Linked DNA regions of Arabidopsis thaliana. The protein of the gene in region 1 interacts with the protein of each later gene in a biochemical or structural test. Each region holds a gene or a part of one and is shown on either strand. Other genes may lie near its edges. The genes, in order: BBX32 and WRI1.

Evidence for each region.
Region 2: the proteins of BBX32 (region 1) and WRI1 form a complex in vitro, tested with the Arabidopsis thaliana proteins (one study listed by BioGRID).

The regions. Positions count from the first base shown.
Region 1 is NC_003074.8:7,411,726-7,415,550, reverse strand, and holds BBX32 (B-box 32), read left to right. Parts: upstream 1-1,823; 5' UTR 1,824-2,160; coding exon 2,161-2,838; 3' UTR 2,839-3,106; downstream 3,107-3,825. Other genes in the region: MNS2 (alpha-mannosidase 2), read left to right, coding at 7-72, 267-375, 468-569, 705-785, 865-1,035, 1,171-1,422; AT3G21140 (Pyridoxamine 5'-phosphate oxidase family protein), read left to right, coding at 3,465-3,725.
Region 2 is NC_003074.8:20,112,672-20,116,598, forward strand, and holds the start of WRI1 (Integrase-type DNA-binding superfamily protein), read left to right. Parts: upstream 1-2,012; 5' UTR 2,013-2,137; coding exon 2,138-2,349; intron 2,350-2,455; coding exon 2,456-2,538; exon of another isoform or gene 2,539-2,570; coding exon of another isoform or gene 2,571-2,667; coding exon 2,668-2,676; intron 2,677-2,794; coding exon 2,795-2,883; intron 2,884-2,977; coding exon 2,978-3,102; intron 3,103-3,387; coding exon 3,388-3,464; intron 3,465-3,927. Other genes in the region: AT3G54310 (DNA-directed RNA polymerase subunit alpha), read right to left, coding at 1-273. UniProt on the Arabidopsis thaliana protein: May be involved in the regulation of gene expression by stress factors and by components of stress signal transduction pathways.

The DNA.
Region 1 (3,825 bases):
GTACAGCTTTTACGAATATTTGCTCAAAGTTTGGGTGTTTGGGAACAAAACTTCAGCAGTGAAACACTATAGGTAAGTTTAACTCTAGTCTACTGAGTGTATATATGTCTGATTGATTCAAGTCCGCTAAGTTCAACCAGCTGCCATCACATTTATCTTTCTGCTTGATATCTATGTTCTTCTTTTCTTTTCTGGTCTTTTAGTTTCAACATCTTTAGCCGAACAATAATAATTTGTACTGTTATTACTTGACATCTTGGCATCAGAGATATGTGGGAGAAGTCAATGAATGGTCTGCTAAGCTTGGTTAAGAAATCAACACCTTTGTCGTTTACATATATCTGTGAGAAGAGTGGAAATTCTTTGATCGATAAGGTAAACCCATCTGTTCATTGTTTCCATTGTATTACGTGAAAATTCTTCATCGCCTGGCATTTCCAATCTCATTATTTCTCATATATATTAAGATGGATGAATTGGCATGCTTTGCTCCTGGAATGTTGGCTTTAGGAGCATCTGGGTATAGTGATCCTGCTGAAGGAAAGAAGTTTCTCACACTCGCTGAAGAGGTAAACTTATGACTTGAATGATCTTTGATCATAGCGTCGTAAGTGCTTCAGATCTTTCGAATTTTTCGCTCTCTGCTTTTCTGATTTAGGCTGCTGAGATATAGCCTTTATTGCTATTTTCCACATATTTTGCAGCTTGCGTGGACATGTTATAACTTTTACCAATCAACTCCAACAAAACTGGCTGGGGAGAATTATTTCTTCAACTCTGGGAGTGTATGTCATTTGCCTGTCTTTTTCAAACACATTGTTTATTTTATGCGTTATTTATTGTTTAGTATACATGATGATTCAGGACATGAGTGTTGGAACGTCGTGGAACATCTTGAGACCAGAAACTGTCGAATCACTGTTTTACCTCTGGCGGTTAACTGGAAACAAGACATATCAAGAGTGGGGATGGAATATATTTGAAGCATTTGAGAAGAACTCGCGCATAGAGTCTGGATATGTTGGTTTGAAGGATGTAAGTTTTCCGTAGGCGCTTAATTAGATCCTGCATTGTTAAAACCTTGGTGAATTGAATTATATCATTCCACCATCTATATTAGTAATTGAGTGTAACTGATGGTAGATTCTTATTTCTTTCAATCATTTCCAGGTTAATACAGGCGTTAAGGACAACAAGATGCAAAGTTTCTTCCTTGCAGAGACACTCAAGTATCTCTATCTACTCTTCTCGCCGACAACAGTCATTCCTTTAGACGAGTGGGTATTCAACACCGAAGCTCATCCACTTAAGATTAAGTCTCGAAACGATCAGGTAAATCTCAAACAATCCAACAAAGTACTGCTACGAAAACCGGCATTTAGAATACGCCAGAGGCATTATGGTCGGATAACAAAGAAGTAAAACTCCCTGGAGAGGTCACAGTGTGATTCGTAGGAGGGGCTCTATGGATATATCTTAACAGAGCAATTGGATTTAGCTTGGCTATTCAAAGACCCTTTTATTTAAGAAACCATTTTTGGAAAGATTTCAAGATATAGACTATTGTTGTACTAGTTGGGATCAGAACCCAAACAGGTTCACCACAGTTTACACCTTGTGTTTTGTATCCTTACTCCTTAGATTATAAATTAAGAGTATTATCTTCTGTTTTGTATTCGACAAAAGATCAATGTATAAAAGTTTATATAAAAGACTGCAACAATGCAGAAGAAATGTAATGGAAGCAACCAAGAAAAGAAGAAGAAGCAATTTGCAATGAGACCAAGTCTCTGAAAAGACATTAGTGTTGACTAAATCTCCACGTCACACCAAAAGGAAGACGAATGACTTGGCGGCTAGTGTAATAGTTTTAAAAATGACCACATAATCTCACCAGCCTCAAAACCTCACGACACGTCATTCTCTCCAATTCTACAAACACCATTCATTTCATTTCCCTAAAAAATTATGGCTCATGTAAGTTTCTTTGATGTGTGAACTGTGGAAGAGACTACTCTCATCAACCATGAACCATAAAAACTCCACCGCTCTTTCTCTCCCTCAATCATTTACATCTCTTCCTTAAATCTCTCTTCCCACCATCATCATTCCAAACCAATTCTCTCTCACTTCTTTCTGGTGATCAGAGAGATCGACTCAATGGTGAGCTTTTGCGAGCTTTGTGGTGCCGAAGCTGATCTCCATTGTGCCGCGGACTCTGCCTTCCTCTGCCGTTCTTGTGACGCTAAGTTCCATGCCTCAAATTTTCTCTTCGCTCGTCATTTCCGGCGTGTCATCTGCCCAAATTGCAAATCTCTTACTCAAAATTTCGTTTCTGGTCCTCTTCTTCCTTGGCCTCCACGAACAACATGTTGTTCAGAATCGTCGTCTTCTTCTTGCTGCTCGTCTCTTGACTGTGTCTCAAGCTCCGAGCTATCGTCAACGACGCGTGACGTAAACAGAGCGCGAGGGAGGGAAAACAGAGTGAATGCCAAGGCCGTTGCGGTTACGGTGGCGGATGGCATTTTTGTAAATTGGTGTGGTAAGTTAGGACTAAACAGGGATTTAACAAACGCTGTCGTTTCATATGCGTCTTTGGCTTTGGCTGTGGAGACGAGGCCAAGAGCGACGAAGAGAGTGTTCTTAGCGGCGGCGTTTTGGTTCGGCGTTAAGAACACGACGACGTGGCAGAATTTAAAGAAAGTAGAAGATGTGACTGGAGTTTCAGCTGGGATGATTCGAGCGGTTGAAAGCAAATTGGCGCGTGCAATGACGCAGCAGCTTAGACGGTGGCGCGTGGATTCGGAGGAAGGATGGGCTGAAAACGACAACGTTTGAGAAATATTATTGACATGGGTCCCGCATTATGCAAATTAGGACATTTAGTGTTTAGTGCCTTAATTATAGTTTGTGTCATTGATCTGTTTGATCTTTCTTTTCAACGTAAACTAAAAATGGTCTGAACCAATTGAGATGATAGATATTTCTTTAGAGGAGATTTAATTTTTTTAATCAACAGTAAGAAGATTTTAGAAACGGAATAATGGTAATCCAATAGTCATTATCAGGTTCTTTTGAGATGAAATTGAAATCTTTTCTTTCCCAATTTTTTTAAACAAAGATAATTTCTTAGAATATTATGTTATTATCAATAAAAATTGTAAATTGAAAAGAAACTGATTTTCTTATTTCAAGGAAAATTCGTTATTATCAACATCAAAACAAAACAAAAGAGAATAGAAAATACATCAAAAGTAATTCCTAAGGACAAAAGTAATCGTAATCCAACTATAAAAAAAAAGCCAAAAGAAAAAGAAAAACCCTTATATGTATGTGTGTGTTATACAAACCCTACTCTGGAAAAGTCCTAATTCCTAAAGCTACTTTCAACAAAGACGCCTGAAGCATCTGCCTATAGTGAAAGATCAGAAGACTCTTCAACCAAAATCTTATTCTCATCCACCATGGAAGCTCTCTTCACTTCAACACACACACCCAATTTACAGACTAAGCCTCTCCTCAAATCTCCGCTGCCCACTTCTTCCCAGTCTTCGTGTTGGTTTTGTAATTCGCTACCCAAAACGCAATTCCCGAAGCTGAGACTCAGTAATGGATCAAGTCACGGGCTTCGTATACAAGCTCTCTTACGTAACGAGACGCCAAGTGAAGGTGAAGATAATAATGGGTTTGGTTTTTTTCCTGGGGATATCTTCTCTTTATCACAGGTACTTTTTCTCTTGTCTTGTGATGAATAAATTCAACTAAAGATTATAACTTTTGTTTTGGGTATGCAAAAATTCAGCAAAAGATTACAATTTTGGACAC
Region 2 (3,927 bases), about 13 Mb from region 1:
TTCCAGTTTTCCCAAATCACTCTTCGCTAAGATTACCAAAGATTTTTCTTCTGCGTCTTTCCTCCACTCTGAAGAACCGGGCACAAGTTGAAAGTTGCTATCCTCTGGATCCGAACCAACGAGAAACCATCTAGAAATGTAACCGTTTGCGTAGATTATCTTTGTATTAGTACTCCCGACGTTTTTATTGTGTTTTTTAAGAAGAGAAGGTGGAACAGAGGATGCTCTCAATGCAACATTTTCAAGTCGTTTATGTGGTGGAACGTAAGACATCTCTGAAACGAATATATGATACTAGGAAAATTAAAAGCTGATTCCAAAAAGATAACTCAAGTTTCCGAGCAACGAAGTATGAGAAGAAGAAACAAAAGAGTACCTTTTAATTATATCAGCTTAGGTCATTCAAAAGAAGAACGACGATCATACGAGAGGAAACTGAAAAGGCGCAGAGCAGTGAACTGAAGTGGAAGAGACGAGACGGTTTGGTCTTTTTATCACTAGAAGTTTAGTCTTGGAAATGTGCATAATATTTAATTTCATTTCAATTTTCAAATCAAAAAATAAAACCGATAACGAAACTCTTGTTATCATATTATGAGCGTTGATAATTTAGAGAATCTCTGTTCTTTTAGAAAATTGTATGAACATTTTGTTAAATAAATAACTATTTTTAAATGCTAAACCTCATTGTTTAGTCCTAAATGTTAGGAATCTTAGTATTCATTTTTTTTTCCTCTTATGATATACACTTCCGGTTTAGATTTCTAGGACGTTTTAAATTTAATTATTACTGCTAATAAAAATAGTTATTTATTTTTAAACAATTAAATAAAACAATTGTATCTCTAGAGTAAAAAAAGTTTTAAAAATTTTGGTGAATGTTTTTATTTGGCAACCCAACTTAATTCCTGAAACGAATCACGAGAATTATTTAACGTACTACAAAAGGTACATCTAATTTTCTAAAACCGAATTAGACTATCGTCTTGGTTGTTTTTGGATGTTGCATGTCTATATTATGATAATTATTCTGTAAGCATTACAATTAAATCGTTTCTGTTTTTACTAAAGGAGTTTTGACTGTTTTAAACGACTGTAAACACTCGTGTGTCTGCTTAAATCATGTGGAAAGTTAAATGATAACAGTTAGAACATCCAACTTTACATATGCTTTGATTAGACATTTTCTACGATATGTTTCGGATTGACACGTGCTAATCATATCTGATCATTTTCCCATTTTACATATGTTCTAATTAGGCATTTTCGACGATACATTTTAGATCGATAATGTGTTAATAATCATCTGACATTTTTTACTTTGTATGTTCTAATTATGTATTTATACGATAAACATTAGATCGACACATGCAAAACATTCGACAATTTGTTGAACACTGAAGACCTAATTTGGTATAATACAGCTCAGCGAAGATACGTTACAACTAATTTGGAGCGTTTATAGAAAATATAGGCAAATAGCCAAATATGCTAATAAAAAGATTTAGAACTTTAATAGGTAATTTAACACATTTTATAACACACAAGCATATATATTTAAAAGGGAAAAAACTAGTCAACTTTCATAGACCATCATTACCATAATAACTCAATTCAATCAAATTTTAATTTTTGGCTACTATTTTTCTTTTCTAAAACCAAAACATCATCATAGTAGATTCTTCAATTTTAAAATATAGAATTCAAATTGTTGACCAGGGAATAAATAGAATTGCAAAAAAACAAATTAAGATATTTTACATTCCAACTTTTCCCCCAAAAAATTAGAGAAAAAAATCAAATTAAATTCAATAATTCCAAAACATAAAACGTACAAAAAAGTTAATGATAAAAAAACGTAAAAAAAAATACAAAAATACAAAGAAAAAAGAAAGACAGCGTGGAGAGTAAAGCTATTGGTAGCATGGCTGCAACAGAAGGCCAAGTGTTTGGTCTTACAATTTCATTTTTAACTCTTTGTGTTAATTAACCCAATTAGCCCTTTCCTCCTTCAGGGTTTATTTAACTTGCCCTTTCTCGTTTCCTCCTTTTTTTCTTAAACCACTCTGCTTCCTCTTCCTCTGAGAAATCAAATCACTCACACTCCAAAAAAAAATCTAAACTTTCTCAGAGTTTAATGAAGAAGCGCTTAACCACTTCCACTTGTTCTTCTTCTCCATCTTCCTCTGTTTCTTCTTCTACTACTACTTCCTCTCCTATTCAGTCGGAGGCTCCAAGGCCTAAACGAGCCAAAAGGGCTAAGAAATCTTCTCCTTCTGGTGATAAATCTCATAACCCGACAAGCCCTGCTTCTACCCGACGCAGCTCTATCTACAGAGGAGTCACTAGGTTTTTATTTTTTTGGAAATTAAATGATTGGTTGTTGAGATTGGATTTGGGTTTTGTCTTAAAACTGCATTTGTAAGATTGCATGTTGTTTTGTGGGATTTTGCAGACATAGATGGACTGGGAGATTCGAGGCTCATCTTTGGGACAAAAGCTCTTGGAATTCGATTCAGAACAAGAAAGGCAAACAAGGTTTCGTCTTCTTCTTTTTTTCTTCGTAACTCATGATTTTGTTTGTTTTAATAAAGATCTGGACTTTAACTGATAAATTTGGTTTCTTTGATCTGTTGTTTGATCTCAACTTCGTCACAACTTCACCAGTTTATCTGGGTAAGCTCTAATTCTCTGAAACAAAAGATCAATTGTTTTTTACTAAATTGAAAGAGAAAAAAAAAGAGAGAGTGGATTTGGTCAGAAGAATCTCAACTGCTTTCACGCGTAATTGCAGGAGCATATGACAGTGAAGAAGCAGCAGCACATACGTACGATCTGGCTGCTCTCAAGTACTGGGGACCCGACACCATCTTGAATTTTCCGGTAAACCAAAAAACAAAAATCAGATTGTTTTGATATGCATGTTTGTGATTTTGGAATCTGGATTATAATTAAAAAAAAAAATGGGGAAAATCAGGCAGAGACGTACACAAAGGAATTGGAAGAAATGCAGAGAGTGACAAAGGAAGAATATTTGGCTTCTCTCCGCCGCCAGAGCAGTGGTTTCTCCAGAGGCGTCTCTAAATATCGCGGCGTCGCTAGGTTCCTTTTTTTCTCTCTTTCTTTTTTTAATTTCTTTAGATTTATTTTTTAAATTTCGGAATTTACTACCAAATTGAGAAATGATTTTTCCTATTTTCGGATATCTGAATAACAGAATTAATTATTAGGAAAAAATCTGATCATGAAAATTTTGCTTTTAGAATATTCTCTTTTTCTTAAAAAAAATCATAAATTATGTTTTTTTCAGCACTGCTAAAGTTTATGGATTCAATAGTTTGGTCATTTTATTCTTAAAAATAGGATTATTTTTGTTCATAAAAACAGGCATCACCACAACGGAAGATGGGAGGCTCGGATCGGAAGAGTGTTTGGGAACAAGTACTTGTACCTCGGCACCTATAGTACGTTATCTCCTTTCCCTTTTTTCTTCTAGTAATTTTTAGAAAAAAATAGATATGTACTCTTGGTTAATTTAAAATAATTAGCGTAATTATTGACTTTTTTATAACTTACCGGGCATAACGGATCCTTTTTACCTGTTATGCTTTATAATATATAATTTTGTAAGTATAAAATAGAGTGTGATAATGTTTAGACTGTTTTTTGTTGTTGTTTATAAGAGTGATTTAAGAATATTAATTTGTTTAGTGAGACAATTAGAATAATATAATGGGGAAGCAGTGGCAGTGGGGTTTGAATTTTACACACACTGACTCACGTGAGGCGAGAGTTTTGACATCATGTCCCTTTAATTGATTTTTATCTTTTAATCAAATCAACTTTTTTTCTTCTTCTTTTTTAATTATCTGATCCCTCTGCATAATTACCTTTTAAATTCTGCATTTTTTGTGGATCCGATACTCT